7 linked regions of the Oryzias latipes genome follow. The protein of the gene in region 2 purifies or fractionates together with the protein of the main gene of each other region. This does not show direct contact. Links are inferred from orthologs where the notes say so. Each region holds a gene or a part of one and is shown on either strand. Other genes may lie near its edges.

Region 1 (3,952 bases), on a different chromosome or scaffold from region 2:
TTTCATTGTTTAACAGAGAATATGTGAGATAACATACTAAAAACGGAGGCGTTATAGGGCAATAATATGCTGGGGTCAAGCTGGTTCTCGTCTCCTGGGTCGGGTGCGTTAGGGACACGATGACCTGCCAGGCAGCTAGCTAGGAAAAACCTCTGCGTTCATCCGTTAGCTCTCGGTCTTTTAATGAGACCGGGAAACTGTACACGAGATGTTAAATCTTTTCATGCAAATCGACACTTCGCTGCGGGGAAATTCACACTTAAAAATCACAGTTTTTAGGCTCTTACCTGGAGCCGTGCGACGGTGAGACAGTAAGATGCCATTTTGTTCACTGACAAAGATGTGAGATCGCCGTGACGTCACTGATGTATAAAAGCTTCTTTCTTCTTCTTTGGTTTTTCGTCCAGTGTCGTATTTACTGCTGCCCTCTGGTGGAAAAGCCTGGAAATACAGCTGAATTTTATTTCCTTTCTAAAATGTACATGTTTACATGGAATAAAATATTAAAGAAATTGTGTCAATATGTGACAAAATGTGTCATCAGACTCATAAGAAAAATATTGGTCGTCACATCAGCAGATCTAAAAGAAATAACGCATTGCTTGAATTAAATTTTCCATACATACAGGATATTTGCATCATGTTTTCAATTCAATGGACTAAAAGTTTAGGTTTGTAAAATGGTTGTTAATCATTCATATGTGCTTGATTAAACAAAATAAATATAGAAATATGATGGAAATGTAACATTTTTATAAATTAATGAACAAAGTTAAATAAGCTAGATTTTCTGTTCATCAAAAAAGTTGCGCAATAGTTAGAAAAAATTTTATTTCTTCAGCAAGGGTATGCATTGCACACCAAAGTACATTTTTACTCAAGAAAATTTTAATTTGATGAACTGCAATTAAAGTTCTCAAACAGGTAATTTCCTCCTCAAGCTGACATGTTTATTTATAAAGTAACTCTCTCATAATTTTATATATTGTTCTGGTTTTCAGAAAACATTTTAAAAAATGAATTTAAAACAGAAAATTTCATAAAAAGGTTTTAAAAATTGGAAATGTAGCCTATTTTAAAAGCAAAAAGGGTATTTATTTAAATCTAGTATTTATAAAAAAAATGTAAATAAATATGTTGGTAACATTTTTTATTTTTACATTTTCAAAACTTAAATTAATTACTTTCATTATCTTAAATATTATAACTCGTGTTTATGTTTTATTTTGTAATTTAAAAAATAAAATAGTACATGCTTCTGTCCAGTAGGTGTCAGTATTGGCCATTTAGCTGCTTTTAGCTTCCACCGACACGCAAGAAGAAGAGTCAGCGGAGCGTTGGGTTGTCGTTAGCTAACATGGCTAAACATCACCCAGATCTGATCTTTTGTAGAAAACAAGCGGGAGTTGGTAAGTTTTTACGTAATTATTTGTTTAGTGTCTGAAACCTTAAAGTTCGTCGCAGGTAATTTGACACATTCGTGGTTTACTTTCAAAGGTTTAGCGCTTTGTTAGCATGTATGGCATGGGGTTTCAATGAGACTGTTAGCATGGTCGTGTTAGCCTAGTTTTGTGTTTGGAGTCGACATGTCTAAATACCTAGTTTTTTCTATTTAATTATTTAAAATATTAATCCCAAACTGTGTAAATTACCTTATTAACTGTATCTGTTTTCATCACCAGCTATCGGGAGACTTTGCGAAAAATGTAAGTTTTTTTAATTGTTTAATGCTATCAAACGTTCAAAGAAAGAGTGCATGTAGATATCATTTTATAGGTAATATTTATAAATAACAAAAAAAAAAAAAACATATTATAAAGTGATTCTTTGCGTGCGGCCATCCCTGATTTGTTCTTCTTTTTTTTTCTGCACGGGCCTTTAATGTTTAATGTGAGAATTATTTTCAGAATAAAAGCCCTCTCTAGTCTAGGAAAAAATACTACAATCCAAAACTTTTCCATTTCTAGAATTTAAAACAAGAAGCTTTCAATGTGAATGGAGTCTAAACTCATTTGTACTTAGTACTTTAAGTGGGAACATAAAGCAGAGTGAAGAAAAAGTCCATTGAATTCCACAGAGGTTTTTTTTCCGTTTGTTGGAAACAAAACCGATACAGTTAGGTTTGGAGGTGTGAGGGGCTGTAAAGGTAGCGTGAGTGCACACAAACAGATGGGTGATGGGAAGGGGGGACGGGCATGCTCCACGCTACCAATCTGCCCACAACTCATAGGTGTATTTCTAATAAACTCCTGCCGCTTTGGAGAAACGACACAGCTTTTGGAAACGTTATGAAAATATTTCAATAGAGGATCAGAGTGGGACTTTAAGCACGGTGGAAGTTTATTGTGGTTTGGGCCTGCTTTCTGACTGAAGCATTTGAATTCCTGCCTCGAAAATCAGTACACTTTTTCTAGATAGAAAATCTAGAATGAAGCAGTCTGTAAAACTAAATAGGAAAGGATGCCGTGGAACATATAGATATGACATTAAAGATGTCTTAAATTCCCAGTCTGGAAGTCTGGTCAATAAGATGAGATTCGAAAAACAGAAGTTTGATAAAGTCCTTCATACAGATGCATCAAAGTTATTATGTCAGTCAAATATTGCTTTAAAAAAAAAAAACATCAACCCAGAGTTCTGAACTATTGTAAACAAACTGTGTTGGCCAATTCTTATCTGTTTATCCTCTTCTCTCTATTGTATCTCCTTCCTGTCTGCATATAGAGCAACACAGATGTTCTTGATCAAAAAACACGAACGATCAGCTGTTTTCAAGTCTTGAGTTTAGTTTTAAATTTTAAAGCGCTTCGAGTTTTAAAAAAAAAAAAGTTTAATTTGATGTATCTGTAAAGCTCTTTGCTGTCATTTCATCAAAGAAACTAGCAGCAGAAACTCAGGAAGTGAGATGCAGCGTCTGACCGTCTTCTTTTACAAAAATAACTTGTTTTAAAGTCTGACTTTAACAATGTTTAAAAGACGGCAGAGACCAACCAGACTGTCCCTGATCTGCTCCTTTCAGGCGATGGGAAGTGCGTCATCTGTGATTCGTACGTGAGGCCGTGCACGCTGGTGCGCATTTGTGACGAGTGTAACTACGGGTCCTATCAGGGGCGCTGCGTGATCTGCGGAGGCCCCGGAGTGTCTGATGCGTACTACTGCAAAGAGTGCACCATTCAGGAGAAAGATGTGAGTCTCTGGGCTCCAGGATCGGCCCTTCGCTGAAATGAACCAATGTTTTTACCCTTAATCTTTTTTTTGTGCAGCGGGACGGATGTCCGAAAATCGTGAACCTGGGCAGCTCCAAAACAGACCTGTTCTACGAGAGGAAGAAGTATGGCTTCAAGAAGAGGTGAAGAAGAAACCCCCCCGGCGTCTGTTAGGCTTTCCTTCTCGTTTCCAAACTTCCAAGAAAACTGTTTTGGTTTGTGAATAAAACTCACTTTTGTACTCCAGTCTCTGTGGCCGTTTGACTGAATAATCCAGTTTTAAAGCGTTTTTTTCTTATCGTTTATACATGGAGGCTCTTTTCTCTCATTCAACCTTGTTCCTGTTAGGTTCCAAGGAAGATCCAGGTCGTATAAATGCAGCCTAAACTTTTCTAGATGGAAGAAAAGTTTCGACATTTTCCTAAAGATCTGAGGAGCTTCAGATCTGGAAGTTTTGGTTTGTCTTTTCTCGTCACATTAACCTGAAATGGAGACAACAGGGAAGAAAAAAACTAAACATTTGAGAGTTCAGTTAAAAAATTAGGGATTTGAGTCCAACAAAATCTACATTTTACTGATCAAAAGTGAGGAAATGATGTATTTAAAGACGTATAATTCTGACTTCTCCCGTCTGAAAACAGGACAGCCTGATTCCTGGTTCTTCAGGATACAAATGAATTTATTTAAATCAGAAAAGTAATTGTAGATGAACTGCTTAAAGATTACTTAAAAGTTCAACTATGGAA
Region 2 (4,088 bases):
AGAAGAAATTATCTCTGTGTGTCCGTTAGTGTCCTTGCAGCACTGTTGAATCTGTTGAAGACCCAACAGATTATAAAGGGTTAAAGTCAGGACAGACAGGAGGAAAACACGGAGTAAAATCAGAACACTGTGGCGCCAGTCAGAGACAGCAATCACTTTCCGATCTCTGAATGATTGATCGCTGCGTCTCCTGTGGAAGCAGAGCATCCAGGAGTAAAAGCATCCAATCAACAACTGCTAATGAATAAAAAACAAACAGAAGGTGTTGAGCGGCTGCAAAAAAAATGCTATTGGTCTTTACATTGCGTGGCTTAAAATATTGCATGGGCTAAAACATTTGTAAAATATTGAAATGCAGAATGAGTGTACTCTACAACGCAATTTGTGCAGTGTTGTTCTGCACATCATAATGGTTTTGGAGAGGGTGGATGATGGCACTTTTACCTACAACAAGGGTGTCACAGTCTGATACTGAATATGTTACTGAGAGATTTAACAGCATGATGACGGGTTAGGAGGGATTATCCATGATAGATGTCAGTTTTACCAGCCTCCTTCTGATTCAGACTTCCTCAATAGTAGCCAGTTTGTAGCCCAGGGCCGAGCCAGCTCCCTTGATTTTGGGAGGACTCACAAAGATGTCCCCCAAGTGACACCCTGGGCAAGGCGAGATCCCCTTGCTCCCCCCTTGCCGATGGAGGTAGTGTCTTTGTCAGTTGAAGCTATCCGGAAATTGGGATTGGTGATGACCCATGTCCTTGTGAAACACATTATACCGAATTCTCTGCTCTCTCCCTATGTCCTGATGAACACTTTCACTTCATCCATGTAATTTGCACAAACCTCACATTTTCATTGATGACTGTGGGAATGCAGGACTTAAACTTCTTGTTCTTCATCCTCTGTTAGAGCTATACTCTGAAGCATCACCACCTCCTCTCTAAGGTGGGTCTTTCTAGCTTGAAAGTCTTAAATTCATATTTTCAAATGTATATTTGCCTCTAACTGTCAAAAACAACGAGAATCTGCATTTCTTGCTCATATACAACATTATAAAACACGAACAATGCAATGAAGTGCATTTTTTCCAGGCAAAACATTTACACTTCCAGTCTAGTTTAAAAACAACATTCCTTAAAAAAAAGTGACAAAACCAAAAATATTTTATATTAATGAGATTCCACGATCTAAAAGTAATTTTGCAAACCAAGCTTTGAGTATTTTTATTTAAAGTAATAGTTTAGTGTATGTCTGTTAGGGAAGCGGTTATCAAAGCGGAACCGTTTTACTGGGGGGTGTTTCTTCAGAAACTTATCTGGTGACGGACCCCGGCGTACGTTAGAATGCTTCAATAGAAACAAACGTAGTAGCTTTTTTTTGGTTTCATTTAGCGTAAAAGACAAGAAGAAAACAGGCAATCAAACTACGAGATATTCCCGAAACATGGAGACTATTTTGGAACAACAGCGCCGCTATCACGAAGAGAAGGAGCGGCTCATGGACGCCAAAACCAAAGAAATGTTACAGAAAAAGTCAACGGTGAGCTTAGCCGCTGCAGGCTAACGTTGGCATTACGTGCCACGACGTTATCCTCCTAAAACAGAAAATTAATGGTTGTAATGTGTTATTTGTTGTTTCAGCTTCGGGATCAGATTAATTCCGACCATCGGATTAGAGCCATGCTCGATGTAAGTAGAATTTAAAAAAAAAAAACAACGTTTTGTTGATGCTAACACAGCGGCAGGCTTACGCCACCGCTACAATGCTTAGAGCATAGTATTAGTTCAAAAGCTACAGATAGTTTTAAAATAGACATTGAAACATTGCCTTCTTAACTTAAGATGAGCTATCTTAAAGACGACCAATCATCCATAAGCTGTTGAGACAAGTGAAAATTTTACTATATTTCCTACTATAGACAACTCAAAGCGAAAAAGTATATAGTGGAGTCAGAAGAAGGACACATGATGATGAGAAGGAATAAGTGTTTTTTACTCCGATTATGAACTCATTTGTCCAAATAGAATAAGGAGACACACAGGTAGGTGTTGCTGCTTCCATTCATCCAGCAGCTCCATTGACTTCCATTTTCCGGTTTGAACTTAAAAATTTTGAGTTTACCTTCAAAGCCATTCACAAAACTAGACCTGTCTGTCTCTCAGATCTGGACATTTTGTTTGTATGTATTTTACAAGTAGTATTATCTAAATGAGATGCAATATAAACTACTGAAAGCATAGCTGTAGTAGCTTTAAATGAAGAAAGGTTGTACAAATATAACAATAACAGGCCGTCATAATTAAGACTTTGAAACTAAAATGACAAAAGAAGTTGAGATGTTTATTTTGATGATAGCACTTTAAAAAAATGGAATTATTCAAGAATGCTTGTGTCTAAATGTGTTTCGTCAGAGATACATGGATGTCAGTGCAAACCTGCGAGACTCCTATGAAGACAAAGATGGGTGAGTGTTGTAGTCTTAAGAACCCACAGGTCTGAATCTTTTCTTTTTCTTTACTGCAGCTGTTTTTTTTCTTCTTCTTTTCTTTTGGCAGCATGAGGAGAGACGAGCTCGCTGCCATCTCTGGACCAAATGAGTTTGCTGAGTTCTACAACAGACTCAAACACATAAAGGAGTTTCACAGGAAGCACCCCAATGAGGTACAGAATCCAGAGTTGTAACAGCACTGCTTTGTGTGGTTTGACAGATGGAGTTATTTATAAACGCTGCTTCATATCAGGAAAAGATTTAAACTATAGAGTGTGTTAGTTATTGTGTTAGGAATTGTGTTAGGAAGGCCATCCTGGGAATCATAAGATGATTCCCTGTGGTACCCACTGTAGGGAACAACTGAAAGGTAAAGAAATAGACTCGGCCACTTAGGTATCAAAAAATACTTTTCCTGTTCTGGGGTATGGACATTATTGGATTATCAGTCAGAAGCGCAACACAAAGCCCTCAGTATGTCAAATGTGTGTTTAATAGACCGACACATTCTGTGCCGGAATGTTGCTCATTCTGCAGAGCTTGAGGGGAACTGCTCTCTTTGGAGCGACTGAAAGTTGTGGAGGAAACCTTTTTGTGCATCACAGGATTGTTTTGCAGAAAATGTCAGCAGAAGGACACTTGGTGTTTTAGTAATGGCCATAATCCATGTGGAATTGTTGATGGTCATGTGACCTTCATTAAACCGTTTTTTAACATGTTTTCCTTGTAGATTTCCATCCCCATGTCTGCAGAGTTTGACGAGTTGATGAAAGCCAGTGAAAATCTCAGTGAGGAAGCTCAGAGTAAGTCGGATCCACCTCCAAAGCATTCTTTATCTTGTTCTTCTCTTTTACAAACATTAACTCTTATTAACAAACAAGAGTTCTTTCTCAAAGTACACATCTGTTTTAGTTTTTCCACCTTTGGTGAGCTAGATCCTAAATTCATTTTTTTTTGGGGGGGGGGGCTTAAATGTAGGAATTCCCTTCACAAGCCGGCAACTAGCCGGCTTTAAGTCTTTTTTTTGTATTGTAGATAAAAAATATATATATATATATATTTGGTCTAAAGTGTTTATGGATTTAATTTTAAAGCCTTTGTTTTAGTTTTAGAAAAATCGAGCAGAATAGTTTGAGTCTGGTTTGACCCAGATTTTTGTCTGCCTCAGACATGGTGGAGTTCACGGATGAGGAGGGATACGGCCGCTACCTGGACCTCCATGACTGTTACCTGAAGTACATCAACCTGAAGGGGTCTGAGGTCAGGATCCATCAGATCTGCTTGATCCGTGTCCAGATTCACATGAAGGTGCACTTTCTAACTGCCCTGTGGTTCTCAGAAACTGGATTACATCACATACCTGTCTTCCTTCGATCAACTGTTTGACATCTCCAAGGACCGGAAAAATGCTGAGTACAGAAAGTAAGTGTTTGTTCCGGCGAAAGTTCCGCTGTTTTTCCGCACGCGAAGCATTAAGGTGGAAAATGCTGCCGGCTGTGCAGATACTTGGAGATGCTGCTGGAGTACCTGCAGGACTACACCGACAGGGTCAAACCCCTGCTGGACCAGAACGACCTCTACGGCAAAGTGTTGACCGACT
Region 3 (3,642 bases), on a different chromosome or scaffold from region 2:
TGCCTTGAAATTTTTCATTTCTAATATCATGTTAACTCAAACTACTTAGCTAAATACGTTTTTTTCTATTGTCAGTCCTACAATGAGTTTATTATTATTATTACTTTCTTATATATTTTTATGACTTCACAATTTTTGTCGTAACTATGGTCAAAACTTAAACAATTTATCCAATCGGACCGTCAGCAGCTAGCACAGTCCGCTGGCTAAGCTAGGTTAGCCATTGAGGACGGGTTTCTGTAAACGGGCGTTTTGCGAATAAAAAAAAACAACTAAAGTCAATACGAGGAGTTCGGCTATCGTTTTGGTTTACAAAAAATGTTAAACTAAAACTCACCCGTTTATTCATCTCAGACTAAGAAAGCTCTCCTCGCCGAGTTGGTCTTCAACCGTCGATCTTTTTCCACGTCGCGAGACTTCAATAAAACGTCCCTTCTAGATTTTCCTCGAGAGACGCCAGTTTGCCGTTGGAAAAACTCCCGCCGTAATCTGCAACCGTTACCGGACCGAATCATCAAATCCCACATGGCGCCTGCGCACTAATACTTTTTCTTTTCTTTTCGTTTCTTTAACCCATAACCTGTTAATTGCAGAAAATAAAAGCACAACAGTTCAACAAATCATTACCCCATGTTGATTTGTTTTCTCATAATTTTATGACTTTATTCTCATGTCGTCGTTTATTTTTCCTCTTTTATATTGTAATACTTTATCACAATTCTATTTAATATTCTATATATAGTTTTTTTTCTCCGAACATTTTAGAGAAAAAATATTTTTTATTTGTGGTTAGATTTATAAAGGTGATTGTCATCTCGCTTTTTTTTTAAATGTCACAAAAGAAGAGGAATCGAGTACTTTGAATTAAGATCTTTTTTAGACTGTATTTTTTTAAAGAAATTAAAAGCACAGCTTTGTTTTCTGTTTGTTTTTTTATGAGAGATGGTTATTTTTACTAACTTCCCCCTCATAAATATGTATAGAATTTGGATTTTATCTTTAAAGAAAAAAAAGACACAAAAGGGGAGTAGATTCATTTTAACGCCAAAACCCCAATTGTGGGTAAACAGGTCAAACTGCAATTCTAACTAGTGCTCAAATCTCCAATATTTTTCTCCAAAAAAGTTAAATACATAGATTTTGTCAGTGTAGGGAATTTCCTAACACAAAAATGACAAAAAAAACTGTTTTGCATTTTATTGATGTTTATAAGTAATTTTACTTTTCCCTACACATATATCTCATTGCACAACACTTTGATGAGAGAGGTACACATAAGTCTTTTTATTTCTTGTGTCTTGTGAAACCACAAAACCACTTTCATGGCCATGTTGATTTTTTCTAGGTCAAAGAACAGAATTACAAAGAAATTTAAAAAAAGTTGTGTTAATAGTATCTCAAAATGTGTGTGATTCCTCTTTTAACCACACGAGGGAAGCACATGCCTATTGCTGTACCTATTGGTATTATCCGTTAACCGGATGTTCGTCTTCGTTTTGTCCCTCCATTTCCTGGTGAAGGCTAAAGGCATTGCGTGTTTGTTGTTTAGCTATTGTTCAGACGAAATAAACTGTCATCATGGCTATGCAAGCTGCGAAACGCGCTAATGTAAGGTCAATTTTTGTGTTTAACTTTACTATATAACAACGAGTATATGTTAATATGGTTTTTGGTGCTCACGAAAGGGACAATTAGCCCTCCGTTAGCCTTTAGCAGCTATTGGTTACTAAAAGATAGCGTCGCTACGTAAAAAAATTAATAAATACGGCATTTTGAAAATGAGATGGTAAAATTGATTGTTTTGTCATCTTAAAATTTTAAAGAATTATTATTGTTTTAGCACGTTAGAGGGTACACTTTAGTGAAGAATTCTTATACCGTTTGTTTACATGCTAGTCTTTCTGTTACACATTTCTTTTTTGTGTGCTGCAGATTCGGTTACCTCCAGAGGTGAACAGAATCCTATACATAAGAAATCTGCCTTACAAGATCACGGCTGAGGAAATGTACGACATTTTTGGCAAATATGGACCCATACGTCAAATACGAACGTAAGTGTTTTGTCTTCATACCTTCAGTTTTATTTGTTTATTTTTAATTTAAAAAAATGTCTGTCCTAAACACACAACCACGTCTACTAACAATGAATATATATAAATGTAATTTTTTTACATGGTAGTATTAATGAGAAGCAAAATTTATTTAAAAAATCGTTTCATTCCAAACTGTGGTGTAGCATTTGCTTAAATTTGACATTTAAATCATTATTAATCATATTAAAAATGCTTGTTTTGTTTGTTCCCCTCACATGTTATCATCATTTAAGAGTCCCTCTTAGATCACTTTTTCATATGTTTTCAGACAATAAAATAAATATGTAAATAAGCTCAATATTCTTTCATATATGTTGTCCTTCATCAGAAAAATGCCATGAGAAAATGTTTTAAAACAGTTTTCATCAGAGTGGGTCTTTAAGGACAATATTATTATGGAACAGGTTAAGATGTGTGACCATTTCATGCTTTTGCTGTATTTTAGGGGTAACACACCTGAAAGCAGAGGAACGGCGTATGTTGTTTATGAAGACATATTTGATGCCAAGAACGCTTGCGATCACCTGTCAGGCTTCAACGTCTGCAATCGTTACCTGGTTGTTCTTTACTACAACGCCAACAGAGTACGTATGCTTTTTATTTCATCCATTTACAACCTTTTTGGTTCCTTGTTTGTTTGTTTTTTTCTGTTTACCATCAACCCGCTCATATTTTTGCAGGCTTTCCAGAAAATGGACACAAAGAAGAAGGAAGAGCAGTTGAAGCTCCTAAAAGAGAAATACGGCATCAACACAGACCCTCCCAAATGATCTCCACGACTATCAAAACCTTCTCACACACCTTAGATTTCTCTGTACCTGTACAAATGTTCCCTTTTTTGAAAATTTTTGCTTGGTCAGGTTTTTGTTTTGGTGCTTTTGTCAACCTTTTATGCATGACCTGCCGTCTGCTTTTTTTAAAAATGACTTCTCTGATGTTAATTGAGCTTTTAATTTGAAGTGAAACCAGGCATGTTTTCAGTTCAGTTCTTTCCCCCCCCCCCACATAATTTTATTTGAAAGTTAACAGGTCTCTGCCTTGTGCTCCAAGAACATCAATGGATGTAATGTTTGTTTAAACCCATTTATTGTAAAATAAATGTCTCTTTTTCTTTAAACCCATTGTCTTTTGTTTTATAAACACCACATATGAACTCACTTTACTCTTGTTTTGTAAACCTGTCACATCAGCTAATTTTTCTTTTTTCCCCCACATTTACACACAAACAGAAAAGTATCTTTTGAGAAGCTGACCGTCATTCAGTCTTTTCCGTCCATCCATCTTAACCTGCTATATTTGTTGCTGGAGCCTATCCTAGCTGTTGTAGGGCAAAGGTGGGGTACACCCTTGTTTACGGAACAGTCAGCCAGAGGACCTGAGAGCTGCAGAGAGCATAGCTGCTTTTAAGAAAAGCTTCAAGACCCATCTTTTTCAACTGCCTTTTAGCAAATGTTTTAATAGTTTTTATTTATTTTGAATTCTTTAATTTATCCACTTTATCATATTTTATATTTTTACATGGGACTATCCATTTGTTTTAAAATTCCTC
Region 4 (4,028 bases), on a different chromosome or scaffold from region 2:
CATCGAGCAGACCCCCCCCCCCACACACACACACACACACGTCAGACGAGCAGCAGACATGGATCTGGTGAGCAGAGCTCAGTTTGCTGGTCTCCTTACAGAAGCATCAGTGACGAGCAGTGCTCTGATCCACACACACCAACACAGACTGGCTTTGGTGGCCGATGCCTCAGCCGTACTCACAGTGCATGTCTCGCTCGTGCTCATACTCTATGAAGGCGTAGCCGCGGGGCTTCCCTGTTCCCTTGTTGTAGACGATGTAAATCTGAAAAGAAAAACTCCTGGTGAGACTCGGCAGAGCGGAGGCAGCAGACATGCAGTCAGCGCACGACGACACGCACAAAGCGGCGCCAAAACGCTTCACGCACGGCTCTTTACTTTTTTTTATAGTATTTTGAAGAGCCAGGAGAATTTTCTCACATTGTAAAGACAAAAGGGTTCATGTTTTGAAGAAAATCTGGACACAGAAAAATAATAATCAATAGCTACCCGTTTAATGGGGCCATAGACTTCAAACTCACGGCGAAGTTTGGACTCTGTCGTATCATAATTCTGAAACAAAAAGGTTTTAATTACCAGATGTGAACAAGGAGTGAGAAGAACCAAGACAAATACTCACCACTCGTGCCACAAACAGAGTCTTGAAGGCATCCCCCTGAGCATTGGGGTCATTATGGGGGTCCCCTGACATGGAACAAACAGGAAGGATGAGCACAAAGCTTTTCACCGTTTGAGGAGAACGGCGTGAAGAAAGTGACAAACTCACAGAGCTTCAGTTCTGTCTCCACTTCTCCCTGTCGCCTCTCAATCTTCTCTCTCCTCTGGAAACAGAAAAGAAAATGGTGACGGCCAACCGCAGAGCCTCCAACAGCAGAGCATCAGCACAGAGCTGACATAATCCCGCACTTGGTTTCTTGTCTGCTGCCAGCATGCACCTGTGCTGGGCTCCTGCCTGGTATAATATTTCTATAGACTTGAGAGGTTTTCACCGAGGCAGAAAATGCTGAATGAAGGAGTTAGGACTGTAATTCAACTACCCCTCCTTTGAGAATCTGCATTCATTAGGTCTGTGCTTCACAGCCAAACTCCTGCTTCAGTCAATTCACAAGTTCACAAATAAATTTCCTTTATGGCTCAAGACGCTCAACTGAAACGTTACAACCCCAACATAACATTATCTGTGCAACAAAAATGGCGAGCGATAAAGGAGCTATCCAGGCGTTGAGTTTCTCAAACAACAATACTAACAAATGCAATTTTAATCCTAATTTTCTGTATACATGCCTTCCATCGTTATCTACGCAGCACAATCAGAGATCCAAACAGTAACGACTGGTGGACGCTGCAGCACAGACAGGATCAGGTTAGAGGTTTATATAGTAAAGAGATGGTTGAGTGTGCCATGAGAAATTACTCAATTTCACCTATTTGTTCTAAAAAAAAAAACATTTTCCATCGCCAGAATATTAGCTCTACGTTCATCGAAATACGCCCAGGTTTCAGTTGGGAGTACTACAGATCACAGAAGACTTTTACTTCCTATTTAAGACACTTTGATTAAAAAAAATGTCTGCACCACTACTGTGCAGCAACTTAGGCCAATGGCTCTTATTTTGGAAAAAGTTTGTAAAACACCCCCAGTTCCTCACCCTGACAAAATACCAGCTAACAATGGTGGAAGTGTAGCTTCAAGCAGGATCCGGTGTCAGACCGTGTAAAAAGTGCATCCAATAATGAAGCCCGGAGATTTGCATCAGTGTCACAGAGTTTACTACATCTCCCATGATTCATTGGGTTGATGTGACAGAATCTGTGCTACTGCCAGCTGCCATAAAGCAAAACAAACGCAAATATGAAATCTTCTGGATGAAAGCAGAGATAAACCGTTTATTTATCCATCAGGTTCTGTATTTGAGCACATGTGCAAAGGGGGGAGGAAACTCACCTTTCTCTCCAGGCGTTCCTCGCGGGTCTCGGCTCTGGTTGGTGGGGGGGCATCTCTAGGATCCTGGTGGGAAACAGTAGGAAGGTGAGACAGAGGCATCGGGGGGACGGAGGCTCGCACGTGACAGCGACGCTCACCTCGAAGTGTCTGATGAAGGGGGCGATGCCGCTGTACGGCTGGTTGTGATGCTTCTCGTGGGGCAGCTTCTCCAGCTGAGGCAGGAACGGAATCGGGTCCCGGGGGGCGAACAGGGCCAACAGGTTCGGCGGGAGGAACTGCGTCATCTTTCACTTGATCGATAAGGAAAACATGCATGATATCAGACACGGATCTGCCGCAACACAATGAAGCAGCGAAACTAGCTGTCAGGGCAGCTAGCTAGCTAGCTAGCTAGCCGTAATACCCGTACTAGCTAGCTAGCTTCACGCGCTTATTGTTCACTTCCCCACAGGACGGGGGACGCGTTCAACGCATTTCATGCATCCAGAAGTAGAACATCAGGAACCCCCTCCCACAGTAGTACACGTTATGGTCTGCGTACAAGTTAAGAGTTTGGCCGTCCGGAGGCAGCCGGAGGCGTCTGCTCCGCTCGTGGGATGTAGCGCTCCCGTTAGCATGGAGCTAACCACTAACTGCGCCCTTACACTCACCTTCTCTCCTCCAGAGTCCAGCAGCTTTTAGTTCATGGACCTGAAGGAGGAGCGGGACTGTCCGCGGGTTCGGTGGCTCAACGTAGAACCGCCAAAAAGAGACTCCGTGAAGATAAAAATGCTGGAAATGGAGCTGAAAACAACGTGGAGATAGCTGGCTGCGTACTGCGGCTGCTCGGCCTGTTGAAAATATAAAATGGCGGGGGGGACCGCCGCGTGAACGTACGTCTTTTGACGTAACTTACGTGATGACGTCAGGACGCCGTCCAATGAGTTTATTATTGACAATGTGATTTCCATGTGATTTTTCCCATTTTGCTCTGAATTTTATTGAAATAAATATAAGTTTCCTTTGACATTGTTAAAAGTTTATTTTTTTGTTAAAAAAATAAATAACTTGTTAAGTGAGAATCACTATGGGTTTGGTTCTAATAGGTCTACAGGTTTTGCTACAATGAAAGTAGTTGAAGAAATTTCAACAGCAATTGACAAAAAGAAAAATACATTAAAAGTTATCATTGATTTAAAGAAGGAATTTGACACCATAGATCATTCTATCTCGATTTCTAAACTGCATGCGTATGGGGTTAGAGCAATCGCCCACCAGTTATTTACAAAACAGACAATACAGTATGTGCAGTTTGGAGGTAATAAGTCTGATCTCATGAATATTATTTGTGGACTTCCACAAGGTTCAATTATAAATGTTTGGGGTATTTCTAAGTTGTTGCAGTTTGTTTTATTTGGACATGAAGACAAATTTCTCTGTTCAGGGATAATCTAAAACCCTAACTTAAAAGTGTTAAAAAGGAAATGAAACTTAAAATGTGGTTTGATTATAATTAACAAAAACAAAGTTTATGGTATTTGGTAATAAAGAAAAAACAGAAGTGGCTTTATCCATTGACAACATAAATATAGAGCAGGTGTCTGAATTTAAATTTTAGGGGTTATGTTGGATGACAAATGAACATGGAAATCTCATATTTTATGTAAAAAATAAAGTAACCAAGACCCTTTTTGTTTTGAACAAATCCAAGTATATTTTACCATGTCAGAGTGTGCATGTGTTATATTGCTCTTTGGTTTTACCGTACTTTACATTTTGTATTGAAGTGTGGGGGAACACAGATTAAACTAATATAATACCCTTAATTTTATTACAAAAGAGTCTCTGCTTCAGCTGGTCCCAGACCTGCTCTATGGGGTTCAGGTCAAGGGTCATTGCTGGTCAGACCATATGAGCCTAGAGACTGGTTGTGATCATTCTGGCAGCATGTGGTGGAGCGTTATCATCCAAAACTGCAAAACTCTCACACAAAATAACTCAATAGGAGTGAGATTATATGAATTTGCTTTTTCCAACTCCTTTTTTTCCTAGCACTAAATCACTTTCTACTTGACTATTTAGTTAATAATCACTATATTTAAAT
Region 5 (4,110 bases), on a different chromosome or scaffold from region 2:
CCTCCTCACCTGCTCTCCTTCTGCCTCAGCAGTAACCTCGCCTCGGTGTATTGCCCCTCTACAGGGCTGCTGTTATTTGCTATGATCTGGTACAGTTTCTTCGGTGGTGCTGAAGTTGGTGGAGGAGGAGGCGGACAAGCAGCCAGTGGAGGAGGTGGAGGAGGTGATGACAAGCTGCAGTCCACCGGCATAGTCTCAAAATCTTTCTACTCTGTCTGATCAAAACCAGCTCTGTTGGGGGGAAAAATGTACCTCCATTGATTTCTTTAATAACCACCAGGGAGAAAGTTAAGTACCATTAAAGTCTAACATGGGGCTCAATAACTGCTTACCTTTCACTTCGAGTCGTTTGCACACAATCTAAAAAGCTCGATGTTTACCTAAACATGTCAACCTTTGGACGAAAAAGATTTGACATATTCTTGCACGTGGTAAACAAACTTTTCGATTTAACTAGCTAACAAGCTAGTAGCTAACGCAGCTCCGTGCTCATATTTGGACATACTCGCTCTTCTTCGTGTGTGCGATCGCTCTGTACTCAACTGTTACACCACCCTCCAGTGAGTGATGATGATCATTCCATCACTAGTCATCTACAGTTTAACACACCATTTACACACATACCGTACAATGTATTTGGAAATAAAGTTGAAGGCACAAAGTTAGTGACAAGTCAATCCACAGTCAGTGTGTAACAGGACAAGCGAAGTTTTTTTCGCTTGTGTCTCTGGGTTTTTTTCTTTTTCTTTTACAGATTTTTGACATTTTCTTTTAATCTTTCCTGTCAAGATACGATACCACACTGATAGGACGATTAAAATATCTTGCTAACGCAAATACTGAAACAAATTTCGTTTTTGACCATTGACTGAAAAGGACCGCAAATACACTGGCTTTATTTCTATTTTTTATTCTTGTTTTATTTATGTATTTATTTTTACTGTTACTGTATTGTTACTTAGTTTTTCCCTCTGTGATTGCTTTAATTGTATATTATTGAACAAGATTCGTTTTAACAATCGATATTGCTTATAATTTTGTTCTTAATAGTTTTCACAAGGTTAGAGTGAGGTGGAGGACGATGATTCGCTGTGGCGACCCCTGATGGGAAAAGCCGAAAGAGAAAGAAGAAGTTTTTTACAAGGTTAAAAAGATTTTTTTATTTATTCAGAACGTAATTGTATTCTTTATATTTTACTGTTATAAATGTTGCATTTTTGTATTATATTCTGCAAATGTTCAATAAAAAAGAGAAGGACCGGAAATCACGTGCAAGTTGGATTTATCGCGAGCAGATGATACGGAAATTGTAAAGGCAGGTTTTTCATTCACCCATCGAAGTGAGCGTTCCTTTCGCGCCGAGCGGTGGTGGGTTTTTTGTTAAAACTGATACTCAGGTGCGGTTATCCGGTGTTTTTTCTCTTTTATAAAACCAAATGTCATAAGGTTACAGATAGTTCGATTAAATTAATCATTTATTGCTGATTTGTCTCAGTTTATACCGAGTTTTAAGCTTTATGCTAGTAATGCCTGCATGCATTCAGGGTTGTTTGCTAGCGCTAGCTGTTAGCCTGCTAACTAGTTGATAGCATTCAATTCATTTTATGTGACATGCTTTGTTCTTTTCCAAACAACTCTTCGTAGATTTTAAGATGACCACTCCAGAAGTACGACCCAATCACACCATATATATCAACAACTTGAACGAAAAAATTAAGAAAGATGGTAAGTTTTTTAACTTCTGGCCTTTCTTTGCTTTTTTGGTCGAAAGAACGATGTGGTGATAAATGATGTTAATTCAGATCCACCACAGCTTTTTATTTTCCTCTGTCTTTATTAGAACTGAAGAAGTCACTGTACGCCATCTTCTCGCAATTCGGTCAAATTTTGGACATCCTCGTCGCACGAACCCTGAAGATGAAGGGTCAGGCCTTTGTTATCTTCAAAGAGATCAACAGCGCCTCAAATGCACTGAGGTCCATGCAGGGGTTCCCTTTCTATGATAAACCCATGGTAAGTTAAACGTTGTTTTAATTTCCTCCATGGTTTTAAATTTACAAATATCGTCCTGTAAAATGTTAAAACTCAAATCAATCTTAGTTTTCAATATTCCTCTCTGCTGTCATGTGTTGTATAGTTTGTGAAATGTTTCAATTCCACAGTGTGCATCAAATGAAGGATTGATCTTTGTAAACTTAGAAGTGCTCAGTGTGAGAGGATCACTGAACACTTAACACTGAACACTTTTTAATGGTTATTAAAAATACATTTAAATAACTAGTAGGTATAATGGATTTTTTCTTTTTTTTAAGCACACTTGGTATAGTAATGCCACATATTTAAACGTGTCTTACTGCAGCGCATTCAGTATTCCAAAACAGACTCGGACATCATAGCAAAAATGAAAGGAACCTATGTGGAACGTGAGCGCAAAAAGGAGAAGAGGAAGCCCAAGCCTGAAGGAACAGGAGCTAAGAAAGCTGCTGCTGCAGCCATGATGGCTGGTGTGCCTACTGCTATGCCTGTAAGTGGGAACGTTTACTGTGACCAGAATGACATGGCAGCTCTTACTCGGACAAGTTAAAAGTGGAAAAATACTGTCTGCAAACTTGCTAAGTTTACCATAGCGATAGGTTGTTTGGAGATTTTAAGCTAAAATAACAGCAATTGATGGAGAAAAAGTTTGGTTTAAAAACCCCACAGAACATAATATCAACCTAGCAAACATTTAGAGGACCATGAACATGTTTACAATGTGTCATTCTCTAGGGAATGCCTCCTATGAGCCAAGCTCCCCGTATGATGCATATTCCAGGCCAGCCGGCCTACATGCCTCCTCCAGGCATGATGCCTCCCCCAGGAATGGCGCCTGGCCAGATCCCCCCAGGTGCAATGGGTCAGATGATGCCTGGCCAAATGCCTCAGCAGGTAATGATTTTTGTCCCCCTGTTCTTTACATGTTTAACCAAAGATGAACATTCCAGGTTTTGTTTCTTTTTTGTCAAACATTTGCCTTCTCTTACAGGTTGCAGAAAATCCACCGAATCACATCCTCTTCCTCACCAACCTGCCAGAGGAGACGAACGAGCTGATGCTCTCCATGCTCTTTAACCAGTCAGTATTGACTTGATAATTGTTTTATGCTTTGACTTTCTTTTCTGCCCAACATATCAAAGACTGACCGTGACCGTTTTCTGCGTTTAGGTTCCCTGGCTTTAAAGAGGTGCGTCTGGTCCCTGGTCGCCATGACATCGCCTTTGTGGAGTTTGATAATGAGGTTCAGGCTGGAGCTGCACGAGATTCACTACAGGGATTCAAAATCACACAGACTCATGCAATGAAGATCTCATTTGCCAAGAAATAATGCCAACACAGGTTGAAATTTGTAATTTGTTTTTTTCCTTTTTAAGTGGTGGAAGTAAAAGGCGTTTTTTTAATAAAATATTTGTTTTTTTCCCAGATTACATGTAAGTATGCTTTTTCTAAGTCACTTTGACATGACTTTAGTTTTAAAAAGTTTGAAAGCATTGCACCCAGTGTCTGACTTGTCAGACATTGTACCTGGAGCTTGGTATTTGTTGTTTTGTATTAAAGTAATTAGATTACTTGATTGATTTTCATTATTTCTTGTTTATGGATTTTTTTTTGGTCATCTAAAACTTGTATTTACTCCATCCTTCTCAGACTGGCACCTACACAGCTTCCTGCAAGGGGTGTAACAATTAATCAATGTATCGATTTATCCAACCGGATCTGAGGCAAGTTCGTAATTAACCTATAGCATTATAAAATCCTTTCAAAATAATATGAATGAATGATAATCGATCTCGGAAAATACTAGTTGAACTGAGACATGATCGTGTTTTTTTTTGTTTTTTTTTACCATAACTATTAGTAATGAATTGTTGTTTACTTGTTTTGTACACATTTATTTACACTAAATTATCTTGCAAGAAATCCAAGTAATCTGGTAAACGTCACTTTCACTGCACAGCACCCTGGTATTTATTATGAGATGCATGGAGTTGTCCTGGATTGATTTTAGGTCATAGGATCATTCAAAGTACACATATCTACTATGAATCTTGTCGGCAACCACAAACTGAGCCG
Region 6 (4,077 bases), on a different chromosome or scaffold from region 2:
AAAATTGAATTGAATTGAATTGATCCAGATCCAGACTGATAGGATGATGATGGAGAACCAACCAGACATTGTAGTGGTGGATAAAGAACAGAGGAAAGCCGTTGTGGTGGATGTGGCAGTGCCAAGCGATGGAAACATCAGGAAGAAGGAACATGAGAAACTGGAGAAATACCAGGGACTCAGAGGAGAACTGGAGAAAGCCTGGAAAGTGAAGGTGACAGTGGTGCCTGTGGTAATTGGAGCACCGGGGGCAGTAACCCCCAAGCTGGAGGAGTGGCTACAACAGATACCTGGAAAGACCTCAGACCTCTCAGTCCAGAAAAGAACAGGAACAGCTAAGATACTGCAGGACCCTCAAGATCCCAGGCCTTTGGTAGAGGACCCCAGCTTGGAGGAGAAACCACCTGGGGAGGGTGAGAGGGGCGTATTTGTGTCACAATGAAAATAGAAATAAGATCAGAAACTCGTGCGTTTACTTTGTCTGTTCTTCTACTACAAGCAGAAACTCTTTCTTTTGCTGATGATGCAGCCGTGTTACTTTATTGATGGACCTATAATCTTCATACGCCGTCATTTAAATCTCAGACTCCGTCTGAAGTATAGCGCTCTCTTTTTTTCTCCACGCGTTTTCATGGTGACTCCAGAAATCGGCGATCCATTGAGAATGTCTTTATGTACCTGCTGTGCATTAACCCAGCGTTACCAAGTGGAGCGTAATTACGCCAACTCATATCCGGTCTTTAGGAACCAACATACCCAGAGTAAGCAAGTTCAGCCAGAGTTCAGGGTTAAAGTCAGGGGAGTTTAAACGGGCCTTCTGGAATACCCCCCAGTACACTTGTAAAGTTCTCACTCATTTTTGTCAATTTCCATGCGGGAACCTCCCAAATGGATAAATAAAGTTGTCTATCTATCATGCATGTGGAGAACATGCAGACTCCTTACAGAACTGAGTGTTGAACACTCCACTACCGTCACCATCAACTTTTGAACATAAATGTTGCTAAAATCCTACAGTCCTTCTGGAGTACTGGAATAATCCACCTTTGGCAGGTTTTTAAACAAAGATGTTTTTATTAACAACATTGATAGTAACATAACAAAGATAGCGTCCTTCACAGTCAGTATTTGGTTTGATGAAACTATCAGGAGAAACAGAAAGAATTACAAAGAAAATATAATAAATAAATAAATGCAAACATAACTGATATATATGGATGAGGATTTCTGAAGAAGAGAATGAAAAGGCTGAAGTTTCCCTTAACTCTCGTTTGTGTTTCTTAACAGGAAGGAAGGCGCTGCAGTTCCCCTCCCGGCCTGCGGGGGCAGCAGCGCGGCGATCTTCATAAAGCGGCATACGGCGGTTTCCGGTTGTCTGCTTGCGCTGCGTGAACACAGTGCGGGTGAGTTGCGGGTTTATTTTTCTTTATTTTAAAATCTTTGGTCTGTTTTGGGGCTGACAGACTTGGAGGGGTGCGACTCCTCCGAAAGAAAAGCCGCCACGGTCGGTTAACGTTTTGAACTCGAGCGTGGTTAGCCTCGGAGCTAACGGATGCTAACGCTAGCGCCTCTTTCAAAATAAAGTCATAAAATCAAAGAAATCTAAGTTCTCGCAAAAGTTCTCTTATTAAAAACTGTATTTCCAGATAATTTTTTTCTCGTATCTGGGCACGTTAATCGTAAGGCTTCATTGTTGTCCGAAGCTTTTTAAAAACTAGTCTTCATTCAACGTGAGGCTCTGAGCGCCTGTCCGTTTTCCTGATCAAATCGCTTCATCATCTTCTTCTCAGACTCCATCATGGACATCCGACCAAACTACACCATCTACATCAACAACATCAACGACAAAGTCAAGAAAGAAGGCAAGTGACCTGCTCAGAAACACGGATCCAGCAGCCTCACCTGTAGCCTCACCTGTAAACCTCCACCTGCAGCCCAACAGGCTGACGGTGTTTCGGGAGGATCTCAGTCTCAGTAAATGAATCATTATAGGGCGGGAAAAGCATTGGCGTTCTGTTCACACTCCAAAAGCAGGATTCGTTGGTCTGAACAGGTCAAACTTGGGTCACTGGCAGTTTCAGCAGCACCTCACAAAAACCCTCGTCCAGAACCCTGGATTTCATGACCCGGTTCTGTCAGAGTTCCAGCTCACAGAGACTCTGAGAGTTTACGGATCAGAAAAATGTCCGTCATCGGAACAAAACCAGGCCTTTGTTTCCTGCGGCCGTCTGTTTACAGGCAAAGGAACAACGTAAGGAGGAGGGCGTCCGTCCATCTCCTAAGGCATCAAACTGCAGCCAGAGTTATTGAACTTTCTGGATTAGAGCAGTCTGTTGGCATGAGAGGCACAGCACTTGAATGGTCTGAGTCGTACTTATCTGATATGAGGTTTTCTGTCCAACTTGGTCAATTCTCATCCACAAAGGCCCCACTCGGACACGGGGTTCCTCAAGGCTCAATTTTAGGCCCCATTTTATTTTCGTTATACCTGCTTCCACTCTGCACCATTTTTGATCAGTGTAATGTGGCCTATCGCTGTTATGCAGATGATATCCAGCTTTATCTACCATTAGAATCTGGGGGGCCCAGTGTGTAGAGAACCCAAAGAAGAGTTTAGAGGATGTTGAAACTTGGATGAAGTCAAACTTCCTCTGCCTAAATGAACAGAAAACCGGGAAAACTGATCTGACAGAATCCAGCGGCCTGTTGGATCATTGAACTCTGACCTGTCTTCTAGCAGAAATCTTGGGGTTATTTTAGTTTTAAATTTGATAGACATGTTAGTGCTGTGGTCCAGTCTTGTTTTTATCGTCTCCGATGAATCAACACAGTAAAGCCACACCTCCCTCATGACACCCCGGAGAGGCTTGTCCATGCCCTCATCTTCTCCACACTGGCCTGCTGTCATTCCCGTTATTCTGGGAGGGAGCCGTCCCTCCTCCGTCTTCAGCTGGTCCTGAATTCAGCTTCAACCCGTGTCCTAACGGCGTCCAGACGGCGTGATCACATGACCCCAGTACTACGCTCTCTGCACTGGTTGCCGGTATCTTTTAGAATTGATTTTAACTGTTTTATTTCTGACCTTTTAAGTGTTTAAATGCTTTAGCACCTCTTTATGTCACTGAGCAGCACCATCGTCCTCTTAGTGGTCTGCAGACCAGAGGCTCCTGGTGGTCCCAGACCTGGACCTGTGACTAAAGGTGACAGTCTTTTCAGTGGCTGAACCTGAACTCTGGAACCGTCTCCCTTTGTCTGCCAGCTCCTTATAGGGTTTGAAATCTTTGTTAAAAACTCCTCTTTTTTCATTGGCTTCTAACACCAGAGTAGATGACAGTCAGACCGGCTCTATTAGTGTTTATTTCACTGTTCAGGCGCTTTACAAATAAAGGTTGGATTGATTGAAAGGACAAAACGGATCCTGATGGAGGCGGATCCCAGCAAACACAGGTCTTTCTGTGGGTCGGAGGAGAACTGTTGCTGGGCTGGTTCTGGTTTCGCTCCTCCGGGTCTGATCTCTGCTCTTCCTCCTCAGAGCTGAAGCGCTCGCTCTACGCGCTCTTCTCTCAGTTCGGCCAGATCCTCAGCGTGGTGGCGCTGAAGACCATGAGGATGAGGGGGCAGGCCTTCGTGGTCTTCAAAGAGCTGGCCGCCGCCACCAACGCGCTGCGGCAGCTGCAGGGCTTCCCGTTCTACAACAAGCCCATGGTGAGAACGCGCAGACCCTCAGGATGACCCCCCGCCCCCCGCTGACTCTGTCTCCCTGCAGAGGATACAGTACGCCAAGACCGACTCCGAGGTCATCGCCAAGATGAAGGGCACCTTCGGAGACAAGGAGAAGAAGAAGGAGAAGAAGAAGAAGGCCCAGGAGCTGGCAGCCAACGCCGCCAAGAAGCCCGCGGTGAGGCGCGGCGCCGTGCCCCCCCCCCTTTACCGATCCGTTTGTTTGTGTCTGACTGTGTTCTGTCTGCAGGCTGCTGCGGTTCCTGGTCTCACGCTCGCTCTCCAGGTAGGGTTCTTCATCACTGAGAGGATGAGGAGGCTTCTTCAGGATCCGTGTTGTGAGGATCCGTGTTCTGA
Region 7 (4,204 bases), on a different chromosome or scaffold from region 2:
ACCATAGAAGAAAATATTATGCAGTCTGTTGTAAACAAGCAGAGCTCCGACACGGAGTGAGATCATCTTCTAAACACGCTTCTAGTATTTTTACGATCAAGTGCCTTTGCAGCCGTACGGACTGCGGTCAGAACGCTTCTCCGGTCCGAACACTGAAACAAAGAACCGTCCCCGCCTGCAGCTACGAGACTCCAGCTGCTCTGCTCAGAGAGCAGCTGGTTCATTCTAACAGCCACAGATCTTTGTGCTCAAATGGAACAGTAGTTTCCTGCAGAGATGAATGACGTACCAATGAAGTACCAATTCTAAAGGTTCCCCTATAGAAACAAACTAAACTAAACTAAACTAAACTAAACTAAACTAAACTAAACTAAACTAAACTAAACTAAACAGACTAAACAAAACAAAACGAACTAAACTAAACAAACTAAACTAAACTGACTAAAATAAACAGACTAAACTAAACAGACTAAACTAAACAGACTAAAATAAACAGACTAAACTAAAATAAACAGACTAAAATAAACAGACTAAACTAAAATAAACAGACTAAACTAAACAGACTAAAATAAACAGACTAAACTAAACAAACTAAACTAAACAGACTAAAATAAACTAAACAGACTAAACTAAACAGACTAAACTAAACAAACTAAACTAAACAGACTAAAATAAACAGACTAAACTAAACAAACTAAACTAAACAGACTAAAATAAACAGACTAAACTAAACAGACTAAACTAAACAAACTAAACTAAACAGACTAAAATAAACAGACTAAACAAAACAAACTAAACAAAACAAACTAAACAAAACAAACTAAACTAAACCAACTAAACTAAACTGACTAGAATAAACAGACTAACAGCCACAGATCTTTGTGCTCAAATGGAACAGTAGTTTCCTGCAGAGATGAATGACGTACCAATGAAGTACCAATTCTAAAGGTTCCCCTATAGAAACAAACTAAACTAAACTAAACTAAACTAAACTGACTAAACAAAACAAAACAAACTAAACTAAACTGACTAAAATAAACAGACTAAACTAAACTAAACAGACTAAACTAAACAGACTAAACTAAACTAAACAGACTAAACTAAACAGACTAAACTGAACAGACTAAACTATACAGACTAAAATAAACAGACTAAACTAAACAAACTAAACTAAACAGACTAAAATAAACAGACTAAACTAAACAAACTAAACTAAACAGACTAAAATAAACAGACTAAAATAAACAGACTAAACTAAACTAAACAAACTAAACTAAACAGACTAAAATAAACAGACTAAACAAAACAAACTAAACTAAACAAACTAAACTAAACAAACTAAACTAAACTAAACAAACTAAACTAAACTGACTAAAATTAACAAAACAAACTAAACTAAACAAACTAAACTAAACAAACTAAACTAAACTGACTAGAATAAACAAAACAAACTAAACTAAACAAACTAAACTAAACTGACTAGAATAAACAGACTAAACTAAACAAACTAAACAAACTAAACTAAACTGACTAAAATTAACAAAACAAACTAAACTATACAAACTAAACTAAACAAACTAAACTAAACTGACTAAAATAAACAGACTAAACTAAACAAACTAAACTAAACAAACTCAACTAAACAGACTAAAATAAACAGACTAAACTAAACTAAACAAACTAAACTAAACAAACTAAACTAAACTGACTAAAATTAACAAAACAAACTAAACTAAACAAACTAAACTAAACAAACTAAACTAAACAAACTAAACTAAACTGACTAAAATTAACAAAACAAACTAAACTAAACAAACTAAACTAAACAAACTAAACTAAACTGACTAGAATAAACAGACTAAACAAAACAAACTAAACTAAACAAACTAAAGTAAACTGACTAAAATTAACAAAACAAACTAAACTAAACAAACTAAACCAAACAAACTAAACTAAACTGACTAGAATAAACAGACTAAACTAAACAAACTAAACTAAACAAACTAAACAAACTAAACTAAACTAAACTGACTAAAATTAACAAAACAAACTAAACTAAACAAACTAAACTAAACAAACTCAACTAAACTGACTAAAATTAACAAAACAAACTAAACAAAACAAACTAAACCAAACAATCTAAACTAAACTGACTAGAATAAACAGACTAAACTAAACAAACTAAACTGACTAAAATTAACAAAACAAACTAAACTAAACCAAACAAACTAAACTAAACTGACTAGAATAAACAGACTAAACTAAACAAACTAAACTAAACTGACTAAAATTAACAAAACAAACTAAACTAAACCAAACAAACTAAACTAAACTGACTAGAATAAACAGACTAAACTAAACAAACTAAACTAAACAAACTAAACAAACTAAACTAAACTAAACTGACTAAAATTAACAAAACAAACTAAACTAAACAAACTAAACTAAACAAACTCAACTAAACTGACTAAAATTAACAAAACAAACTAAACAAAACAAACTAAACCAAACAATCTAAACTAAACTGACTAGAATAAACAGACTAAACTAAACAAACTAAACTGACTAAAATTAACAAAACAAACTAAACTAAACCAAACAAACTAAACTAAACTGACTAGAATAAACAGACTAAACTAAACAAACTAAACTAAACTGACTAAAATTAACAAAACAAACTAAACTAAACCAAACAGACTAAACTTAGACGATTCCAGGGCAAAACAGAAGAACCCTCGGGGGGGTCCACATGAAGGAGGGATCCTCCCCCAGGACGGACAGGCGATTTACCAGAACTCTTAGAGAGAATGAACTTATCTGACTCTACAACTACATGATTGACTAGATCAGCAGATGAGCTTCATCCAGACGGCTGAAAAGGTCTCTGAGAAAAGGGTGGTTTTTCCAACCCTGAAGCTAAACCAGCCCAACATTATCAGAGAAAGGAATCTGCGTGATGTCAGGCAGCCTGGAGCTCAGATGATCCACGGGAGAGAGAGGCGTGTGTCGTCACATTCCCTCCTCAGGATGACAAAGCAAAAACAGCGTTCTTTGGAAGTGGAACGAATGATTTTAAATGTCCTCATGACCGTAAACAGAAAGTGTAGCAGAAAGAATCACATCCTTTCAAAGAATTGAGTTCGTCCATGGTTAGTTTCAGCTGAAACGTGCCTTTATTGTTGGTTTTTCTAATTAAAAGCAGGTTCTAGGAAGCACTGCTGCACACCAACCATCTCTGCTTCACTCTGCAGCCTATTCCTGAGCTCATGTTTGGGTTTGGAGCATCAAATCCAACTTCTTTTTCTTTCTTTTCATTTTAAGTCATTTTAATCAGTGTGTTTTTTTCCATGCCATTTGCTTTCACGTTGATATCAATCTGCCTGCATCCTGTCCTTCCTGCAGCCGTGGTGGATCTGAACGGCCGTTATTTTGGCGGGAGGGTCGTCAAAGCCTGCTTCTACAACCTGGACAAGTTCCGGGTTTTGGATCTGGGAGAACAGGTCTGACGTGGTCCTGCGATCGGCGCCGGCGTCAACCATCATCATCCTCCTCCTCCTCGTTCATCGACTTGTACATAAATTTGTTTTTGTTTTTTTTTATATTTCCTGAACAGCGTCTCTGTGGTCAGAACTGTAAAATGTAGTTGTTGTTTTTTTCCCTGTCATTTGACAAATATGTCAAAATAAAAGCTTTAAAGCCGTTTATGTGCCGTTTCCACTTTCCAAGAAGCCTACTTCTGCCGTCTGATTCTTGCCTGAAATGCACAGGGCTCCTGTGTTTGGGTTCTGCCTCTCTGGGGGGTTTTGGCGGTCCTAACATAGCCCTGCTTCATTATGGAGGGGACTAGGACAGTGAACGGAGCCTCAGCCTCATTCAGGACTTATGTAAGTGAGCCAGGGGGCCCCCAGGGGCCCGACGTCATGAAGAGATGCCCCTGGAGTGGGTTTAAATCAGATCAGTGAGGCGGGTTGGGTAACGAGTCCTGGTTTTGAAAAGCTGCTGCATGCCTCTTGGTGACATTGAAGTGGCCTTTGGCAGAGACCTGGTCGGGCTCTACAGGTGCTGATGGACTCCGATGCAGACCGGTACGGTCTGGTTCTAAACTCAACCTTCGCCGTATGGCGCTCGTGCAGAGTGTTCCGCACATGGTTGGGTTTCACGGAAAGCTCCCGAGGACGGACCATCCCTGTTCTTTCTCAGAATG

What was found.
Region 1: the proteins of sf3a3 (region 2) and phf5a purify together in Homo sapiens (affinity purification with mass spectrometry; 3 studies listed by BioGRID and IntAct, with this or other methods). This does not show direct contact. The link is inferred for Oryzias latipes from reciprocal best matches to the Homo sapiens genes SF3A3 and PHF5A.
Region 3: the proteins of sf3a3 (region 2) and sf3b6 purify together in Homo sapiens (affinity purification with mass spectrometry; 3 studies listed by BioGRID and IntAct, with this or other methods). This does not show direct contact. The link is inferred for Oryzias latipes from reciprocal best matches to the Homo sapiens genes SF3A3 and SF3B6.
Region 4: the proteins of sf3a3 (region 2) and snrnp70 fractionate together in Homo sapiens (co-fractionation; 3 studies listed by BioGRID). This does not show direct contact. The link is inferred for Oryzias latipes from reciprocal best matches to the Homo sapiens genes SF3A3 and SNRNP70.
Region 5: the proteins of sf3a3 (region 2) and snrpa fractionate together in Homo sapiens (co-fractionation; 4 studies listed by BioGRID and IntAct, with this or other methods). This does not show direct contact. The link is inferred for Oryzias latipes from reciprocal best matches to the Homo sapiens genes SF3A3 and SNRPA.
Region 6: the proteins of sf3a3 (region 2) and snrpb2 purify together in Homo sapiens (affinity purification with mass spectrometry; 6 studies listed by BioGRID and IntAct, with this or other methods). This does not show direct contact. The link is inferred for Oryzias latipes from reciprocal best matches to the Homo sapiens genes SF3A3 and SNRPB2.
Region 7: the proteins of sf3a3 (region 2) and rbm17 purify together in Homo sapiens (affinity purification with mass spectrometry; 4 studies listed by BioGRID and IntAct, counting the BioPlex papers as one, with this or other methods). This does not show direct contact. The link is inferred for Oryzias latipes from reciprocal best matches to the Homo sapiens genes SF3A3 and RBM17.

The regions. Positions count from the first base shown.
Region 1 is NC_019877.2:2,094,200-2,098,151, reverse strand, and holds phf5a (PHD finger-like domain-containing protein 5A), read left to right. Parts: upstream 1-1,285; 5' UTR 1,286-1,357; coding exon 1,358-1,409; intron 1,410-1,682; coding exon 1,683-1,706; intron 1,707-3,019; coding exon 3,020-3,186; intron 3,187-3,263; coding exon 3,264-3,353; 3' UTR 3,354-3,452; downstream 3,453-3,952. Other genes in the region: aco2 (aconitate hydratase, mitochondrial), read right to left, coding at 288-323.
Region 2 is NC_019869.2:17,931,794-17,935,881, forward strand, and holds the start of sf3a3 (splicing factor 3A subunit 3), read left to right. Parts: upstream 1-1,288; 5' UTR 1,289-1,443; coding exon 1,444-1,539; intron 1,540-1,640; coding exon 1,641-1,688; intron 1,689-2,411; coding exon 2,412-2,464; intron 2,465-2,555; coding exon 2,556-2,661; intron 2,662-3,218; coding exon 3,219-3,291; intron 3,292-3,656; coding exon 3,657-3,748; intron 3,749-3,827; coding exon 3,828-3,910; intron 3,911-3,990; coding exon 3,991-4,088. UniProt on the Homo sapiens protein: Component of the 17S U2 SnRNP complex of the spliceosome, a large ribonucleoprotein complex that removes introns from transcribed pre-mRNAs.
Region 3 is NC_019882.2:13,000,287-13,003,928, forward strand, and holds sf3b6 (splicing factor 3B subunit 6), read left to right. Parts: upstream 1-1,455; 5' UTR 1,456-1,578; coding exon 1,579-1,608; intron 1,609-1,932; coding exon 1,933-2,051; intron 2,052-2,538; coding exon 2,539-2,677; intron 2,678-2,773; coding exon 2,774-2,863; 3' UTR 2,864-3,142; downstream 3,143-3,642.
Region 4 is NC_019866.2:24,780,069-24,784,096, reverse strand, and holds the start of snrnp70 (U1 small nuclear ribonucleoprotein 70 kDa), read right to left. Parts: upstream 2,801-4,028; 5' UTR 2,596-2,800; intron 2,236-2,595; 5' UTR 2,230-2,235; coding exon 2,083-2,229; intron 2,009-2,082; coding exon 1,946-2,008; intron 822-1,945; coding exon 767-821; intron 685-766; coding exon 620-684; intron 553-619; coding exon 490-552; intron 266-489; coding exon 184-265; intron 1-183. UniProt on the Homo sapiens protein: Component of the spliceosomal U1 snRNP, which is essential for recognition of the pre-mRNA 5' splice-site and the subsequent assembly of the spliceosome. SNRNP70 binds to the loop I region of U1-snRNA.
Region 5 is NC_019871.2:13,958,418-13,962,527, forward strand, and holds snrpa (U1 small nuclear ribonucleoprotein A), read left to right. Parts: upstream 1-1,315; 5' UTR 1,316-1,397; intron 1,398-1,644; 5' UTR 1,645-1,652; coding exon 1,653-1,725; intron 1,726-1,840; coding exon 1,841-2,013; intron 2,014-2,359; coding exon 2,360-2,524; intron 2,525-2,769; coding exon 2,770-2,928; intron 2,929-3,025; coding exon 3,026-3,114; intron 3,115-3,204; coding exon 3,205-3,364; 3' UTR 3,365-3,375; intron 3,376-3,460; 3' UTR 3,461-3,610; downstream 3,611-4,110. Other genes in the region: c13h19orf54 (UPF0692 protein C19orf54 homolog), read right to left, coding at 10-191. UniProt on the Homo sapiens protein: Component of the spliceosomal U1 snRNP, which is essential for recognition of the pre-mRNA 5' splice-site and the subsequent assembly of the spliceosome. U1 snRNP is the first snRNP to interact with pre-mRNA.
Region 6 is NC_019859.2:709,986-714,062, forward strand, and holds the start of snrpb2 (U2 small nuclear ribonucleoprotein B''), read left to right. Parts: upstream 1-1,277; 5' UTR 1,278-1,403; intron 1,404-1,790; 5' UTR 1,791-1,798; coding exon 1,799-1,862; intron 1,863-3,532; coding exon 3,533-3,705; intron 3,706-3,766; coding exon 3,767-3,898; intron 3,899-3,970; coding exon 3,971-4,006; intron 4,007-4,077. UniProt on the Homo sapiens protein: Involved in pre-mRNA splicing as component of the spliceosome. Associated with sn-RNP U2, where it contributes to the binding of stem loop IV of U2 snRNA.
Region 7 is NC_019881.2:3,098,602-3,102,805, forward strand, and holds the end of rbm17 (splicing factor 45), read left to right. Parts: intron 1-3,402; coding exon 3,403-3,506; 3' UTR 3,507-3,704; downstream 3,705-4,204. UniProt on the Homo sapiens protein: Splice factor that binds to the single-stranded 3'AG at the exon/intron border and promotes its utilization in the second catalytic step. Involved in the regulation of alternative splicing and the utilization of cryptic splice sites.